3 linked regions of the Drosophila melanogaster genome follow. The protein of the gene in region 1 interacts with the protein of each later gene in a pairwise test. Each region holds a gene or a part of one and is shown on either strand. Other genes may lie near its edges.

What was found.
Region 2: the proteins of exex (region 1) and CG31955 interact in a two-hybrid assay, tested with the Drosophila melanogaster proteins (one large-scale study listed by BioGRID).
Region 3: the proteins of exex (region 1) and lms interact in a two-hybrid assay, tested with the Drosophila melanogaster proteins (one large-scale study listed by BioGRID).

The regions. Positions count from the first base shown.
Region 1 is NT_037436.4:7,945,686-7,952,901, forward strand, and holds exex (extra-extra), read left to right. Parts: upstream 1-2,500; 5' UTR 2,501-2,680; coding exon 2,681-3,600; intron 3,601-4,465; coding exon 4,466-4,736; intron 4,737-4,871; coding exon 4,872-5,258; 3' UTR 5,259-5,878; downstream 5,879-7,216. Other genes in the region: CG43880 (uncharacterized protein), read right to left, coding at 57-307, 362-599.
Region 2 is NT_033779.5:3,711,381-3,716,261, reverse strand, and holds CG31955 (uncharacterized protein), read left to right. Parts: upstream 1-3,395; 5' UTR 3,396-3,479; coding exon 3,480-3,764; intron 3,765-3,816; coding exon 3,817-3,993; 3' UTR 3,994-4,036; exon of another isoform or gene 4,037-4,108; intron 4,109-4,193; 3' UTR 4,194-4,381; downstream 4,382-4,881. Other genes in the region: CG2818 (uncharacterized protein), read right to left, coding at 1-105, 158-1,615, 1,771-2,169; cutlet, read left to right, coding at 4,644-4,881.
Region 3 is NT_033778.4:20,554,069-20,561,148, forward strand, and holds lms (lateral muscles scarcer), read left to right. Parts: upstream 1-2,808; 5' UTR 2,809-2,889; coding exon 2,890-3,127; intron 3,128-4,018; coding exon 4,019-4,167; intron 4,168-4,323; coding exon 4,324-5,073; 3' UTR 5,074-5,885; downstream 5,886-7,080. Other genes in the region: Mgat1 (mannosyl (alpha-1,3-)-glycoprotein beta-1,2-N-acetylglucosaminyltransferase), read right to left, coding at 5,972-6,085, 6,139-6,226, 6,285-6,367, 6,425-6,515, 6,581-6,685, 6,746-7,080.

The sequences.
Region 1 (7,216 bases):
TTCCCCGTATTTTGTGTTTCGTGCTTTAAAAAAATTGATTTAAATATTTATTTGGCTTACAAAAGTAGTAATGTGCATATTAATGTCGATAAGACTATCAAATTTGATATCCTATGATTAGTGGCCTTGTTATCTTCGTCTACAAACCAATTTCCGCAGGGACATGTCTTATTTTCCATCAACGATGACCAAATCGCCCGACTGCACATATGACAACGTACATTATTCTCAATATCTGCACCTTTTCTTTTGAGCTTTTGGCATCCCATTTCCGGTGACCAGAAACAGCAATACCCGAGTATTGGCCCTATAAATTGGGAACTAGTAAGTGATATGAAAGTATTATGGCTAAGCTACTCACTTTCTTTTACAAAACCCATTCCGGCTGGCAGGCAAGTCTGTAGAAATGGCGGTAATTTGGACGAATTTACATGAGGATCCAACTTTAGGGCATCAATCTCGAATTCACAACTCCATCCGGTTGTGGTAACGTCGCAATCTCGGTTTATCTTCGAACAATTCGCACATTGCATTTTTTCATAGAAACTGTGGACGTTGGTAATATAAGCGGCTATAATCCAAAAAAGTTTCCCAAACATATCGGATACCAAATGTGTGTATTTCTTCAAGGACTGCTGGGTTTAAAAATTACATTTTTAAAATTTTAAAAATTAAATTTTTGGAATCAAAGTGCTAATATTTCCAATTAGCACTTAAGCTAACTTAAATCAAGTTTACCCATAACGCTACCTTTTCAACATTTTAACTCTAATTGCATATTTACGTAACCATTTCTCCCCAAAATCAAAATGGAATCAGATAAACAAAATGCGAACTAAAAACCGAAAACCAATCCAAAACCCCACACTTTCAACATAAAATCCCTCCACTTTCGAACCAACCAAAGGCCCCAATCTCATCCCTTTACCCTTCGACTCGCTCTATGTTTGTGTTGTTATATAAAATAAACTATTCCGGAATAACACAAATCATACGGGGGGCCAGAACAAACGAGGCTGGACCATTGCCAGGTCATGTTCCACGTTTCCCCCCCTTGTGCACCACCCATAAATGTTAGTTAACTGCACGTGGATGAGTAGATAAATATGGTATAATGAAAATAAAATAAGAACCAGATAGAAACTTGGTGGAGGGTACGCGGGGGGGCGATAGAAACAACAGCAATCAGTCGTCATTGCAGACATCGCACTAATTTTGAGTTAGTTGTTGGGAAAACATTTTCGGCTTGAGTTTGGGTTTTCCCGAAAATTGGGAGTGAGTCAGTCGGGCTTCATTTTTGTACGTGGGCAAGGAAAATATACTTTGGCACGTTTCTTGTTAGCGAACAGTTTGCTCCATTCCCTGGACTCACTTAACTCTTTTCCTGTCTGGACATTGCATTATATATGTATGTAGTACATATTATGGGTTCTATTTATTTGAGTTCCAAGGTCTGCTCCTTTTCAATTGCTTTGTCTTTCTGTCAGCTTAAAATTGGGAATTAGTTAAATATGTTTATCTTTAATATTAGATTAAAGTAAAGAGAAATCCCTTGTAAGGAGAAATCCGCCTATTTAATCTGCCCAATATCAAGTTATCAAGGTGAAAATCGATTGTATCTAAAATCGTAAGATAACGCCTATGTTAATGTATTCCATAGACTTCCATTCAATTTGATGTCCTTTGCTACCGCATTCAATTCATTTATAGCCACCCGCCATCTTCTTAACTCTGAGCCACTTGGCCAACCATTCATGTCCACTTAGTAATCCATCAAGGGAACATTAAAATCGTCTCATCTGGCTGAGCGTAGGTCGTAAAGAAAATGCATTATAGGGGCATTACGGCGGTAGCGCCAAACTGCCAACCGAGTTATAAAAGCGCCATGAAACGAGACGTTTATTGTTATCGAGATTATTGATTTCTGGCCGGGCTTAAAGCTGCCTTTTGGCCGTTTTGTGGATCGTGGATCGCTGCTCGTCGAGTGCCTTAATTGCTGGCCTAATCATCTGCCAGACTTCCTATAACCTATTGGCCCTCCTCCATACCACCACTCCCTTTGGCAGCCATTAAGGACCTTTCGAGCCTCCGAGCACTCCCACTTTCCACTCTCCACTCAAGTTGATTATGAAGATTCTTTCGTCTTTTGCCTGCTGAACTTGCTAGTTGCTCAACACTCCATAATGATGGCAATTATAGCCTCGTTTTTCCAACAATTTATATGAAATTTGCTGCTGCCAAGCTCACCCCCCTCTGTCCCTAGCCACTCTTTCTCACCAAAGCCACGCCCCTTCGATGGACATTTTCAGCCACTTAGCCACGCCCCATGCCATCAGGCTATCTCTGTCGCGCTTTCGTGTTAACTGCCAGATACTCCATCTTGAAAGCGGGTTTCCAGAGAGCGAGAGAGAGAAGCAGAGCGGTACTGATTGCACCACCGTTGCTGCTTCACACTGGCATTCCGTATCGCGTATATGATACCACGTTTGGCTACCAGCAGCGCACAGTCGTTAATGAGCGCTCGTCGAGTTCGCTTCGCAGGAAATCACAGCTCGCGTTCGCACGCGTGTTCGTAAAATCGTCGATTTCGAAACGTGTTGGAAAGTGTTTGGAAATTTTGAGAATATATACATATATTCGAAAGAGTATAGAAACTGAACTTTGGTGAACCGAGTGAAGCATGTCCAGTGCCCAAGTGTCGCAACAGCCGCCTCCACCGCCGCTGACCGCCAGCAGTAGCACCTCAATGCCGTCGCAATTGCTACTTAGCCACATTCAGCACCACAGCAGCAGTCTGCACCATCAGCGCAGTCATCAGCGATCATCGCCACCTGCCCAGGACTACGATCAGGGCAGCAATCAATCAACACTCTCGCCCAGATCCCAGATAACACCCAGTCCGCCGGCAGCCAGTCCCACGCATTCGGCGGCCACCACAGGATCACCAGTTAGCACCTATACACCGGCCTTGAGTCCCGGTGGTGCACAGGATAGCAGCCAAACGGAGAGTGGTCAGAGTTCACAGATGCCTCTACTAGTGGCTCCCATGCCCGTGGGCACTGGTCCGCCACATTCACATCCACCGCCGCCGCATCCTCGTCTCTATGTGGAGGGTTTCCCGCCACCGCATCATGTGCCACATCCACATCCCGCCCTGGGCACCTATCCTCTGCCACGACTGCCCCTTATGTTACCGGCAAATCCACCAGGTGTGCCATCGGGAGCGGCTGCACCACCGCCCGTCTCACCGCAACCCGCTGCCAATCACCTGAGCCACAGTGGAGCCACCATGGCCACAACCACACTCCTGCCACCCGCCCAAAGTCAGCCCAAGAAATCCTTCTGCATCGATGCTTTGCTGGCCAAGAGCCAACACCAGTCGGGTGAGCCACAGCCCATCATTGTGGATGATCGTCTGGCTGCCCTGCACTATGCCCGGGATCAGGCGGAACTCAATCATGCCTTTGTGACCGCCTCCAATGCGGCGGCAGCTGCTCAGGCGGCTGCCTCGGCCGCCGGCGGCATCAGCGAACAGGAGGCACTGCAGCGCATCCGGGACTCCAGGGAGTACGACTCACCCAGTCCCGACGGCATGTCGAGGTGAGTAAAGAAATTTGGGATGAGCATAACTATAAGGAAGATTTCAGAGGGGGTTTGAAAAGAAAAGCATATTAATAAGGCCTGAAAAACTTATTATGAGTGATCAAAAAATAGATAAAGTTTATTACTAATAACGTTACACTATAAAATGTTTTTAAAAAGGTAAAGGTAACTTGTTTATTATCACTATTACTTAATTTGTTTTAGTAATTAATTTATACTCATGATAAATTTCAATTGTTTATGAAACTATTCATTTGATTGTCTATACTATCTGTCCTGATAATTTAATTAGTCACTTATTACAAAGTCTTACCAATAGCTTTGGGTTAAATAATACAATTTTTCGCCTAATACGAACACTTGCCTCATATTATTACTCATATGCATTACTTTGCTTGCTAATACCCAGAATTTAAAAACGATTCGTATAAAAATGCAGCTCTTACCAAAAATCCCTCAACTTCTTGTTGAAATCCCTTGGCTGGCTACCAAACAAAACCGTGGCACTTGGTAAAAACCATTCTGAAAGCCAAAGCGAAGCCCCAGCGAAGCTCCAAAGCAGCTTTGCTGGCACTCGAAAATATGGCAATGAAAAATGTATTCAATTGGTCAATTCCAATTTGGTCATCAGCCACAGAGATTACGTATACGCCATGTGTCTGCCGTCACAAGTGTGTGAGTGGCTAATTTAAAGTGCGAATTGTGTACAAAGAAGCAAACAAATTAGAGGGAGGGCGGCGGTAATATTAATTGTTTTCAAAATGTGTCGCGTAATTTCGATTGTCGAAATCGATTGGTTAGATAATTCGCAATAAAGGGTGCCCCATTAAGTTTTTTCCCACAATTTTTTTTATTTTTGCAGATCAGAGTCGCCCACTTCGTCGCACCGCTCCAGTCCGCCCATCAGTCCCGGTTGTGAGGATCAGCAGCAGCCCCACGGTGCACTGCATCCCCAGCATCTGTCCATGCGCATGTCCGACTTCCACGACGAGTTCAAGAAGCCAATACCACCCCACAGTCCCATCAGACCCCAGGATTTTCCGCTCTACGCAGGAGGACATCCCTACCAGCTGCTGGCCCAAGGTGGATCCGCCTTCCACAGACCTCTGGATCCCTCAGGGAAACCCATTCCGGTAAGTAAAACATTAAATATATATCAATATTACAAAGTAACTATTGTAATAAAAATTTTAATACGAAATAGATCAATATATACAATACTATCATACAAATCATTTGCATCGTATTTTCCTTATTTATCCATGCAGATACCCATGGGTCATAATTTCATGCCGTCGCAGCTGCAATTCGAATTCCTGGCCCGCGCCGGAATGCTGCACCATCGAATTCCCGAACTGGCCGCCTATCCGCATCATGCGATTCTGGGCAAGACCAGGAGACCACGAACGGCCTTTACATCGCAGCAACTCCTCGAGCTGGAGAAGCAATTCAAGCAGAACAAGTATCTGAGTCGGCCCAAACGATTCGAGGTGGCCAGCGGTCTGATGCTGTCCGAGACGCAGGTGAAGATCTGGTTCCAGAATCGTCGGATGAAGTGGAAGCGCTCCAAGAAGGCGCAGCAGGAGGCCAAGGAGCGGGCAAAGGCCAACCAGCAGCAGCAGCAGCAGCAACAGACGCCCAGTGCCGCCAGTTAGGAGTTGTAGCAGTAAGGAGAAGCAGCCGGAGGATCTGTTGGATCTGGAGGAGTGGTCTCCAATCTAGTCATGCCGCGATCAAACCGCCGTCCCACCATTAAAACGAGACACCCTGTATTCTTGCCCCCAGTTTCATTCGCGCAATCGGTCTAAATCTTTTTTGGGTTTTTTGCACTTTGATTTCGCATTATTATTTTTATTTTGTGCCACAACAACTGGTCACTGTGTGATATATGTGTGTGTATATGTAAACAAGAAATATAAATTAAATTCATTACCCCCTTCTTTTTAGCCCCTTTATGTACATAAACATAAATCTAAATAGGAACACGAACATAAATAACAAAGTAAACATAAATCTAAACTAAATGAGTAATGCTTAAGTAAATAAATTACATTAAATGCGATTAGTTTAGTTGGTAATTTACAATTTGCTTGTGTAATTTGTGTAAATAATTGTAATTATGTAATTGTAGTATTTAATATTAACGAAAACAACAAGAGCCATTAAGAAAAATAACAAATATAAAGTGTATAATAACGCATTGCGATTGAATTAGTTAATTTTCTAGATTTTATTTTCGAAATCAAAATTGGAAAAAATAAATAACTAAAAATATAAGCTTACAAATTTTAATAATTGGGATAAATTAAGGAACACAAATGTGGCAAGGTAAGATATGACTTATAACAACTACTTTAAATAAAACTTAAATTAACTGGAAATCTACACGATTGACTTGCTGAGAACTATTCCACTTAATTCAAGAGAATTTGAAGAATTTTTGATAATACAACTAAAACCATAAACTAATTTTTGCCATAAAAAGCAAAGCAATGATTACGATTGCCAGAAAAATGTATGAAGCGAAATGCACTGAAAAATATCCCAAAGTAACAAGTAGAAATAAACATAATTTATATATATTCTAGCAAATATCTAATCTGACTGGCTTTGAGAGCTGTCTGTGGCTCGAATTTATAAATACACGACGGCCATAAAGAAAGAGCTATTAGCCACATATTCGTATACTACCAATCAAAATTCTACTCAATTTCTCGCCCTTGCGATAATGCCTATCGCAGCAAATAAATCAAAATGTGCGCAGATAATCAAGTTAATTGCTGAGACAATAATTATGACTAAATTTATAGTATCACTTCAAAATTATTTCGCTAATTAAAATGTAGCCAACTTCAGGCGAACAACGAACGCACTTCTTAGTTTCTTGGCTTGTTGATATCGATTTGGTTTATTTATTTTTTTTTTTGGCCTGCGAGTGTGGCAAATTGAAAAAATCATGGTGAGCTTCGATTTCCGGCAGAATAAGAGTCATATAAAGTGTTATTATCAGGCAATACCATACAATTGGTTGGAATACAATACAATACAAGTTTTTGATAACCGCTTGAATTCGGTTTAACGTTCATCAGCTACTGAAGTGATTGATAAGTATTTACATAAAATATAAATTATTATATATATATATATATATGTTTAGTTCTTATCAACGTAATTTTTAATGTAAGCTTCTTTTGAATCTTTTATCAAGCAATCAAATAATATATGATTTAGTTCCTTTATTACTATACATACCATTATCCTGCTCATTGAAGATGACATAAAGTGCGAACTCACTTGGTATTGTTCTAGCCACTTTCGATTGCATTTCCCATTTCCCATACCCAGTACCATTTCCATTCCCACTTCCATTCTGATGAAGAGAACTCGTCTGTCCACTTTATCACGTAATTCTCAAGTATTTCATAGACTCGCACACGACGGACTTTACGGGTTTTATCGACGCTGTTGGTTTGCCTTGAAGTATGCTTTATATTGTTATTATTGGTTGTTTGATCTGTTGCTGTTGTTGCCGTTATTGTTGTTATTATGCAGCAGTTTCTTGTTTTCTGACGGGCTAATAAAAATTCATTTCGTTCCTCTGCTTGCCACTAAA
Region 2 (4,881 bases), on another chromosome or scaffold:
GATGGCGTGCAGGCCGAGTTCCTTTAACAGCTTGATGGTATCCTTGGAGTTGTTATCGTCGCCCCAACAAAACAGCACCAATCCACGCTCCTTGGCCAGATTCACCTAAAAGCGTCCGTAGCTGAATGATTCACGATTCGAGAGTGGATCATGTTACCTGACTGGGATCTCGCAGCAGGTCCTCCGTGTGTGCCACAACACCCAGGAACTCCATGGCCACCGCGTGCCACACGGCCAGCTCCATGGAGTTGCCCCTGGGGTCCATATACTTCTGGTATTTCGTCGTCCTGCCGAGAGTTAGGAACATGACAGGGTATCGATTTTGCTTGAATCTCAGAATAGTGCAGATATCTGGATCAAAACAACTCAGTACTATCCTGCGATTCCCTGCCTTTCGTAGGATGACATCCAATATGCAATCGATATAGAGATTTCTGTCCACCACATGCTCGAATTCCTCCTCCATTTTGCCGTCCTCTAGCCTCTGAGACCACTTAATTTCTATGTTGAAACCCACATGGACATCTAGGGCATCCAGGACATCGCATAGCTGCGGAAACGGCTGGTGCTCTAAACAATCATCGTTGTGAAACGAACGCGTCTCCCTGGACAGACCCTCAGCAATGTGATAGACTTTCAATTTCTTCAACTGCTCCAGGGACAACTCCCTCATCGGTAGAGCGAGGAAATCGTGCTCCTGCAGACTGCACTTCGACTTTAGTGAAACATAGATCATGAAATCGTGATACACCACTGGCACCAGATCCTTGCTAAGTTGGACATCGAACTCCACCATGTCGGCACCATGCTCTGCGGCATTCTTCAAAGAAGTAATGGTATTCTCCCGAATAACAGCGTCCTTGGCCTTGAAACTAGTTCCGGAACCACGATGGCCCACATCCAGTCCCGTCCACTTGCTGTTCCAGTATCGGGCATAGCTGACACTCATATCCATTAGAGCACACAGCGATGAGGGCTTCACGATAAGATAACCAAGACGCATCATTCCCAGAGGTCGATGGCCCTTGGCACAGGTTATGGGCAGCTCCAAGTTGCCTTCAGAACGTTTAAAAAGATTGGGCAGCACATAATGATAGCCCAAGTGGTTCGGTGGACCATCTTCCTTGGCCACCCGGGAGCTGTAGCTGTACAAATCAATCAGGTAGGCCGTGTTCTCGAAGTCTCCAACGGTCAGATGGAATATAACCAAATCGGTGGGTCCACAGCCGGTGCCGAACTGCTCTTGACTTCTGATTTCGCACTCGTCGGCACTCAAGGTGACGACCTCGCTAAAGGCAAAGGCTGTGGAGGATTCACCGCCGTTCTCCTTGGTATCATGAGTGTCGTTCGACAAGGAATCCTCCATGGGAGACGAGGGCAGCATGGTATCACAGCCGGCACTGGGAATACTCAGGTTCATGGGCGTCACTTTGACCTGGATATGCCTACGTTTCATGCGCTGCTTAAACGTGAACGGAGCATAAAAGAACTTTAGCTGCACCAGAGTCTCCTTGGTCAGCCAGCCCCGATCCACCTTCTCCTGGCCATTGAACGAGCCAAATATGTCACTCTGATTCTTGGCAGGCTGCTCATCCAACTCCTTGACTATTCGGGGCTGTAAGGAAAGGGAATCTCTTAGCAATGTTATTGGGCTAGCTCCAAACCATGAATCCCATACGAGTGCATACAAATCAAATCCGATCCCAGGTCCAGCTGGATTTTTGGACTCTACTCGTATAGGGTCGGTCAGTACATAATGAATTTGTGAACCTGTAATTGCGTTTCCCAACGGCGGACAATCAGCTGCTCCGTGCCGGGATCGACGGCACAGACCATATAGCGATATTCCGTGTCACAGTGACGCGGAATATAGATCTCTCCTGTCCACAGATTACTATACTCATTGTCCTCCTCATTTTTGGACAAAATAGCCGCTCCCGAGTGCTGCCAGTTGCCCAGCGCCTCGCAATTACCCACTATGGCCAACTGCTCGTTGGGCGCCAGATCCTGGTTCATCAGCACCCGAAAGGTCCACAGTCTGTTGGTGGTAATGTCGCCAAAGATCCGGCGGGACTCCAATCGACTGCCGTTTTCCGAGGACGCAGGACAGGATGATGGCGCAGCCATCGCATCCTCATCGCCGTTATGTGAGGCCAGCCAGTTGTGCATTCTGTGGGGATGGATAATAATTAATATCTATATATAATCCTTAGCTATATACACTTTGAATAATAGTAGTTAGCAGCAAAGAACTAAACTAATTGTTGAAACTCAGTATAATTGTATTGTATTGCATGCGCACAAGTAATTTATGCCAACTCTCTCTTTTTTTCGAGTACTACTGTGCTCGTTAGCGTATACGCACTGTACTTCAATTATTTTCAGCTGCGGTCACAAGTTGTTTATTGTATCGAGCGCAAGTAATTCGAAGATATTAACACAACATTAATTTCACTTGCAGTCCGCAATTGTTTTTGGTTTCCCTTATCAGTGGATGACGTAAATAAATAACTTGTATCACTTACTTTGCGTTGTTGTGTGCTGAAATAGAAGAATAAGCCGAAATCGCTTTGTTTGGATTCGATTTCTCGCTCTCCTCCACTTTCTCTCTCTTTGATTTTCCTAGATTTTCTGTGATTTTCCTACGCGTACACGAAACTATAACAAACGTGTGCAAATTGAGGAGTCGCCCGATTTTTTGATCATAGCAGCTGTTTTTGGTTTTTGCTCACGGATTTCAGCTAACAACACATGATGTTTTTCTCTTTTCGTGGCGGGGGGGCTTAACTCTATAATGTGGATATAACTTTATATTATCTGAACGATTTCAGCGCCGCAGGGGCTTCCGATCCCCTTGAAACTGTGAGTTGCATTATTTTGTTATCTATATATCCACTGACCGATTCTAGCGAGGGATGTGAAAAGTATTTGAATGTCAAGATATCGATAGGTTTTTGATGAAGTAAATATTTTCACAATGCTAAATGCCTAAAGCACTTAAAAATAGTAGATGCCTTTTTAGATATATACTACATACTACTTACTTACACGCACTTAAAATACAAGTTTTATATTTGATATTTGAGCGCATTCTCACAGGTTGGCAACGCGAACAGCTGATTTTTAGGGTGACCGTCTTCCGCAACAGAGTATCTCACAGTTTTCGAAAAGTATCTCAGCAATTTAGGCAAAGTTTCTGAACTTTCAGTTACTACTTAATAAAAAGTTTGTTGGTTGTTTACCTAGCTCAAGAGATTCTTTCAGATTTAATTTAATAAAACCGGTAGCTTAGGATTATAAAATTAACTTTGACTTTATTTAATGTCCCTCCCGCGCGAATGCAGCTTAGTAAAAATGAGTCATAGTGTTCAGATCTGCCTACATTCCAGAAGCTTGCAGTATTCAGTAGACATCAGTCGAGCGCAGAAGCTCTTCGTGATAAGACGTCTTCAATTCAAATTTTTTTTATCGAACACACCATGGAGGGGGACAAGGTAGTTTTTCATAGTTCTGATCTACCATACGAATATTTATACGACGACGAAAAACACGTTTCGCACATGCCGGATTCCAAATTAAGTGTACGAAATATTTTGGATTCAGCTTACGCTTCTGCTGAAGGCAAAATTATAACTAGGAAACTTTCGCGCAGCATTCCGCCGTATCCGCATGCTGTTCGAGTAAAAAATGGCATTCGTGTTTATGAATACAGTGAGCCCAGAAAACAGAGCTACAAATCAAGTTTATGGAAGGAGGCCTACAATGTGAGTAGGAATCGAAGAACACATGCTGGACATTTTACTTGCTTTATTTCAGATACTCCACCAGCGGTTGGATATTGCCGAGCCAATCGCAGCAAAGGAACACGTGAGAACGCAGATACATCCGTGTCTGCACAAGATCAAAGGACTTCTAGATCCGGAAACCTGCATCAAGTGTCCGCGGTGTCATAAGTCCATTTCGTCCACCAAAGTTGTGAAAAGCTTTGCATAGTGACGAATGCAAGCCACCTTCAACATATATATCTATTATAGAGGTTCAATATATGCTCAAATCAACACATGCATTTATATATATATATAATATAAACAAAGAATGCAACAGCCCTACAGATGAATCGTCATTTTCTTCTGTCATTTTGCTAGCTGTAATTAAAAGGGAACGGGAAATGTGCTCTCGCTTACTGATTATAGATAATGACTTTGATTTTGAAATAAGGAATGCAAAGAATACTCATTTTCGTATTCACTTCCATTTTGGCGGACTTTCTTTATCAGTAAACAAAGTGGAAGAAGAAGAAACGAGAAAGGTAAACAAGTCAATACAAAACAGTTGTTTGGAAAATGTGCCATAGTTACCAAGTGCCTGCACCAATTTTAATATCAAAACCAATTATTGAAACTAGTTATATAAGTATTTTTATTTACATTCAATGCATTTATAAATAAAATAAATCAAATAATTTAAGCTTACTAAATCAATCAGCTTGTGACAGCCATCACTTTGATAACGATAGTTGGCAACTCTGCCATCGAACAGCTGTTAATGTTTGCCATTTTGGCGCGAAAATACCAGTGTAACAATTTGTTTATATATAATAGGATTTTATTAAGTTGTTTGTTGGACGCTCGTTTGAAACCAGTATGGATCAGTATCCGGACGAAAACGAGGAGTTCGAGCTGCAATACCAAGACGAACTAGAGCTGCTGGAGGACTTGCCGGACGAGTTTAACGCGTACGATGGACCGAGCACATCCAAACAGGCCGCTGAAAAGCAAAAGGAAAACAGAGCTCCCGTTGCGGCACTAAGAGATAGCACCCGTCTTGGAAACTCTACACTGGGATCGCCACAGCTGTCGCAGATTACCTTTGGAGCTAGCC
Region 3 (7,080 bases), on another chromosome or scaffold:
CTGCAACATAAACACCACACGGAATGACGGAATGACGCCTTTTACTCCTCGAGCTCCTCCCCAAGCATGTTTCCCAGAAAAGTGCACCAAGAATTGGAAACTGGGAGCCCACTTCCCATCCACGGACTCCGAATTCGAAACGAGCGCACATTAAATTAATAATATGCAGTTCATTCTCTCCCGTTTTTTTTTTTTTTTTCTTAATTATTATTTATATCTGTCAGTTTATAAGGCGTAGGCTGGTTTTTTGGTTTGCCGGAGGCAGTTTTATGAATGAAATTAACAGCATAAGATGGGTGGAGATCCCAAAATTCATCACCGATATTTATGGCGGTCTTTTGGCAGGATAATGCAATCTGCATTTAATTTCCGCATTAACGAATACGTTCAAAAATATAGAAAAATTTAAGTAGTTTTCATTTAATAATACAAGCTGCTTAACAGGCAATATGTATAAAAAATTATACATATTTATACCACCTGATTGAATGCCTTCTTAATACTTTCTCTCTGCGGTCTGTTCTACATAGTTTCTAAGTACCTAATCATGGTATCATATTTCCATAACCAGCTCTAATAGGTCTTCACACAAATTAGCCTCGAGGCAAACAAATAGACAGCCCAACGAATCAATCAGGATACAGTTTCCCAAGGAGTTCAATGCTCGCCCGCAAAAGGAGTTCCAACATCACCTTCGGCGTAATCGGAAACCACACGAATATCCGAGAGTCAATGGCGTGGGAGTGTCACCGATGCCCGTTCCAGATACAGATTCAGATACAGATACAGATGTTAGTCCGGAGCAGCCCAATGATCGATGTGGCAGCGAGGCAGCAGTTAGATGTAGCTAACACCCTGCAGGACTTGATGCATCATTAGCTGGATGCGATGACAAAAAGAGGGCACAAAAAACATTGAAATTCTGGCCGGAGGACGGACTGTTCCACGCGACTGCCAGTGCAACTCCGGACGTGATTTATGCTGCGTGCGCCTGACAAACACTCGAGAAGTGATGATTTATAATGAAGATGCATGCTCGGTTATTAATTAAATTCTGACGCGACTGCGCTCCATTTAGTCTTAAATGCGAGAACCAAACAAACTGATCTTTAGTTAGCCTAAGGTTATGGTTGTCGTCTTACGCAATAAGGGCCAAAAGATCCTTAATTGATTCGAAATTCCAGAGGCAAATTCCAGTGCAAAGTGGTAAGAGGTATGCAAAATATGTTATGCTGAGAATCTTATAATAATACTTAAACATATCTGCAAGTTCATTTCCTTCCTCAGATTTCTCTGATCCAGTTAGGAAACTTAATATATTGACTTAGCCAAAACAAGATAGAATAGAATACTTATGTTCAGATGTTCGGCTTGAATGTGATTCCATAGATACCCATGGATAGATAGGTTATAAAGTAGCCAACAAATTGGTAAATACTCAAAAATGACGAAGTCGAAACAAAGTCTGCATTCTGTTTGGCAGTGGAATTTGAAATATGGCAAGCAATAGTCGAATATTCATTAAGCGCAATTATGAAAATTAAGTTGTCATTTTGATTTGAGTGCCCGCGACACTCGGGCATGCGGCCTCATAAGCAGATCTAGATCCCCCCCGCATCCGCAACCGAATCCGAATCCCCGCCAGAATTCTCATTAAATTAAATCAAACTGACAGCCCGGCCGGCTAAATGGATGCCCTGCGATTCGTCCCCTTTCCCCTTTTTGCTCCGCCATCTCGGCGACTAATTAACGTGTTTTCAGATATTTTGTTCAAATCGCGCCTGAATAATGAAGACGTTATCATGGGGCATCCGCGCATCCAGGAATGGGCACCCTGTAGCCCAGTAGATGTTGTGGATTTGGCTGCTGGCCAATTGGAAACTAGTGTCAGCCAGGCCGCCGGCTAATTTCTCAGATCCTCCCCTCCATTCGGATCCTGAGTGCCCCTTTTCCATTTTCCATTCTGTCTGAATTATGTGTTCATAATTTCGAATTAATGAAATTTTTACAGGGGGCTTGGGATTGGGATTCAAAGAAATAGAAAGTTATAATATGAAATATCTGTAAGGAAGGTGTTCTAAAAACTCAACAATTAAGTTATGATTCAAAAAATGTTGTGCTTCAAAATTACTGTTTCTCAGATTTAAATTGAATATATTATACACATTAAAAATGTTTCTCAAGCTAGTAGAACCCAATTATGCATTGCGTTACAATCACTTAGACTAATGGCCTTGTATTACTTTGTTAAGAGATTTAAAAAATTCCAAAAAATCGACAAAGAAACCATTTGTACATTTGAATACAATTTTTTGAATGCTGCATTGTTTAAAGAATTCTGAATTAACCCAAAAGAGGACACGTGCCTGCACACCAAAGCACTGAAAACAAATCCAGTCAAAGAAATTGCTCGCCGTTCATTAATCAAATGGATGAAATATGTTGGCAAACGTATTAAATATATTTAGCAAAGCCATCGAAATATTAAATAGCGCTACTTGTAGACAATTAGCCAAAAATTATGACTTTTAATCACGGGCAAGGCGACAAAAACAATTTCGAAAACCCAGAAGACGGCGTTGAACGCGAGCCACGCCCCTCATCCCAAACATTTCACACATGTTTTAAAAATAACCGAACTTGTGTGCTGTCTTCAGTGAAAATCGAATAGTATGTTTCTGTTCCTTTCTGTCGTTCTATTTGCGCATATGGTGTGAGCGGTGCGGAGATATATGATTTTAGGCTCCGCCCCGCCAGGCGATCATCTTGAAAAATCGGCCAGTGAGCAGGATGCTCCGCATATTCAAATTAGTTTTCCGTAAGATCTCCACGCGCGCTGTTGTCTCCGGAATATCTTCAAAATATATATCGCTCGCAATCGGCGGAAACATGAATTCGCAATCGGCAGTGCGTCGCTATCCACACAGTTTTTCCATCGAACAAATTCTGGCCAAGCCGGAAATGCGCAGCTCCACTTCCTTTGAGGACTCCGTGCAGGATGAAAGCGGTCGCGGTGGCAATTGTCTCGGTGCTTCACGGGCTTCCAGTCCGGCAACATCGAGTTGCTTGGATGACAACATGGACGACGGCAAAAGTGATATCGATTTGGCCTCAGATGATGGAAACGGTGCGTATGATCGATATGCCGGAATATAAGCTTTACAACGACGAGAATTTTGGTGTCTGGAATTGGATTTGGGATCTAAAAACTTAACTTAAAGCTCAATTGGATCCTTATTAAATAGCAAATATACAAAATATAGATTTATACTGAACTTCATCAGGATAAATAGCACCAACAGCCAAATAGTCAGTGCTTTAGTGCTTTTAAGTGTAGTATTATCAAGGTTCAAGGAATTATCAAGGATCTTTCAAATAATACAGTTACAATATACAAATTTTAAATTCTGAAAAAAAATGTCTCTAAAAGATGATTTACCTCCTAATGGAATCACCCATAACGAGCTCAGCACAGCCGTTCATTATTGTATGTAAATATGCAATGAGTTTCCCACCTGAACGAATGAGTGAGTGCCTATGGCTGAATGATCTCATCTGTCATCCGTGCGATCAAGAAACAAATGATCAGAAATTAGCTTCTGGGTGACAGGGAATAAGCCATCCATTCCATATCCACATTTTCGTCGACACCAACGCAGTCGACTAATGATGCAAATGTCACAAGCGAACAAAGATCGCTGGCGATCTCAAAGGAGATATTCTTCCACCCGTTAAGAAGGAATTTATATGGCTATTTGTTTTCGGTCGGCCAAGAGAATGTATGCCAAAATGGCCAATTAGACGCCTTGGCTAAGTGAAATGCAACAGTGTGATTTGCAATTTGCCAGGGGTTTTGCGGTGCGACGGGGCATTTTACATACACATACAACTGTGCCAACAACGGATCGACAAATTACCATTAGGCGAAAATAGTTGGCACCGCGCGCCGGATTGCCCGCTGTCGGTAGCAATAAATGTCTAATTGGGATTTCGATTTCCCACTTTGATTCCATTGCAGGCCTTGGTGATGACCGCAAAAAGCGACCGCGTACCGCCTTCTCGGCAGCTCAAATCAAAGCACTGGAAACGGAGTTCGAAAGGGGAAAGTATCTTTCGGTGGCGAAGCGAACTGCACTGGCCAAGCAGCTGCAGCTCACAGAAACGCAGGTTAGTTGTGGAATCTATCAAAAAATTTAATTACTACCCAAAAAAGTTTGCCATTCTATCTAAAAGCGATTAATAACATGAAATGAAATCCCTTGTATCTATGAGATACAATTGGCATTCCTCGTAAATAATTCATTCATTCATTTCACTTTTCAGATCAAGATCTGGTTCCAAAACCGCCGCACCAAGTGGAAGCGCAAGTACACCTCGGACGTGGAAACGCTGGCCTCGCACTATTACGCCCAGCTGGGTATCGGGGGATTGGCCAGGCCGATGGTGGTTGGTGATCGCCTTTGGCTCTTTAGCCAAACGCCAACGGGTCCCACGCCCATTCAGTCCATTATGCTAAATGGCAGTGGCTCCGCTGCACCCATGGCCTCAGCAACGACGGCCACCGGCTCACCCATGCGTCCGTACGCGACTAGCGGCGGAATGCCACCGTTGCCGGGTCCCAGTGTGATGGAGAGTGCCCGTAATGCCATACTGGCACGTGGACAACCCTTGAACTTCGCCCTGCCCTTTGGCGTGGCTAAGCCGCCGGCGGGTGGTGTGCCTGCGGCCAGCTACATCCCTCGCTGCAAGCCGTATGCGACCAGCTATGTGGACTACGCGGCGTCACTGCCAACGAACGAGAGCTATCTGCAAATGAAGTACGCGACGCTGCCGCCGGAAGCGGAAAGCGGCGCCTCCAATGGCCTCGCCGAACTGGAACGCGTCTTTGGGGATGCCAATGCCAACTTTCTGCAACAACGCAGCACGCCAGTCGCTGGAACAGCCACAGCCTACGGCCACGATGGATTAAATCAGGCGCAGCGGAGCCGCAGACCCACACAATCGGAGTCCGAGTGCAGCGACATTGACTGCGAGCATCTGGACGAGGATGAGGAGCCACCTGCTGCGGAGTGAAAAGGCGATTGGTTGTCTTTAGAATTTATGTTCCGTACGTCTCTCATACACACAAAAATATGCTCATACAAAGTGTAGTCATAGGGGGTAGTAGAGTAGGTGTCCTGTCTGGGTTGATTCCATTACAACTAGCTGAGAGTGGCACACTTTCAGATCTGGCCGGGATTACTGGCGTACCCCTGGTGGCTCAGCACTGGTCTAGTTTACGTTGTGGTTCTAGTACTAGTACTAGCGCTAGTTATTGCTATTCTATGTTACATTGTGTGGGTCGGGTACTGTTTACTGACTGGCTCTCAACAATTAATAAATGTAAATTAAATAATCAAAAATCACAAATATTACACGTCCGTTGCCGTTAGAACTCTAGTTGGATCAACTTAAATGCTACAAATTACACGCTGCATACTATAACTTAACCATTGCTATAACTATTTGCAATTTAACACGATAAATTGAGAGAGATAGACAGATAGAGAGAGCTGTAACAAAAGCGAACGACACTGACTTATTTACAATTCATTGCGTTGCTTGTGTGGCTGGTGTGCTAGAATGGAACACTTTTGGCTCTTGCCACACACAGTTCGGTTCGGTTGACTACTATACATAGTGGAGACTCATTTGATTTGATTTTGTTACGCCAACAGTAGGTCCGTAGGCTAGGGATCTGGAGCAGACGAATTGCGTTTTCTATCAGAAATCAGGGCTAGTACTCCAAGTACTCCTGCCTACGCGATGGCTGCGAACAGCGTCTACTGTTCGAGGAGATTCCATAGTTACAACTTAGCTAATTGGTCAAATAAAAATTAAAACTCATAGGGCTATTTTTGGTATTGCAAGCACGCGGAGCTAGCTGCGTGGTAATGGAAGTGGAGCTGGCGGTACTCTGTCCTTAGCGTCGTTAGCTCCAAGAGAGCTCGTAGCCCTTCCAGTTGGCGTTGGGTGCCAGATGCACGCGCCGTTTGTTGTAGTAGAAGGAGACGATGCCATGGTAGGCAGTCCGCGGAACACCGCTCTACAAAGATTAAGAATAATCATAGTTTCAAGCACATAGATTGATTGATCTACCTTGAAATCATCCATAAGACCCAGCATCTTAGTTGTCCGCTTGTACTGCTCCCTAGTAGTGTATTGAATGCGAACTGGACCTTCGATTCTGCAACACCATAATTGGAATTATGTAGATACTTTCTATATATCATATATCAACTCACCTAATCAGGTTTCGCCGCAGCTCATCGTACGTAACAATGGGATACGTATAAACGCGCCGCAGAAACGTGTTATCGTAATTGTCCTGAACATGAAATAGTTGTTAGTGTAATGAGGCAACAATGCACGGGTGTGTACCTACCTTCAGCAGGTAGCTCATATTGATTTTTGTAAACTGCACAAAGTCCTCGCTCAGTTTAATGTGCTTCAGATACTTATCGAAGAACAAACCGCTGTTAAACAACAAATTATCATTATTAGCTGGCACGTTGCATTGTTAGCTAGCTATATCTCTTACTTGGAAACGCCTATTTTTCCAAACGTGCGAGTGCGTGATATTTCGGGCCTAATGCACACGCGATCTTTGCGCTGGGCGGGATGACGTATCCAATCATCCCAGAAGCTAGAACAGTTAATGAACCATTAGCGATTGGCTGGCAAACACCATAATTGCCCCACTCACGATTTGGGCCATTTGACCGACAGCTCGGCCCACAGATCTTTGGTGAGCATCCAGCCGAGACCGGGAAAGAAATCGGTGCGGTAGAGCAGCTCCGGCTGCGCGGCGTCCACAACAGCAGCCTTGCCATTGTCATTCCACGCGGACACGCACCACAGGCTGGGGTCCTGCTTGAGCAGCTTGTGCGTGCCCAGGAAGTACTCAAAGAAGTCGGGCGCCACGTTCAGATCGTCCTCGACGATTATGACGAACTCAAAGCCCACAGCGAAGGTGGTGTTCAGGGCCCAGCCGTAGTGTCGGGCTATCTTGTAGTAGCCTTTGAATTTTTTCTCCTTCGG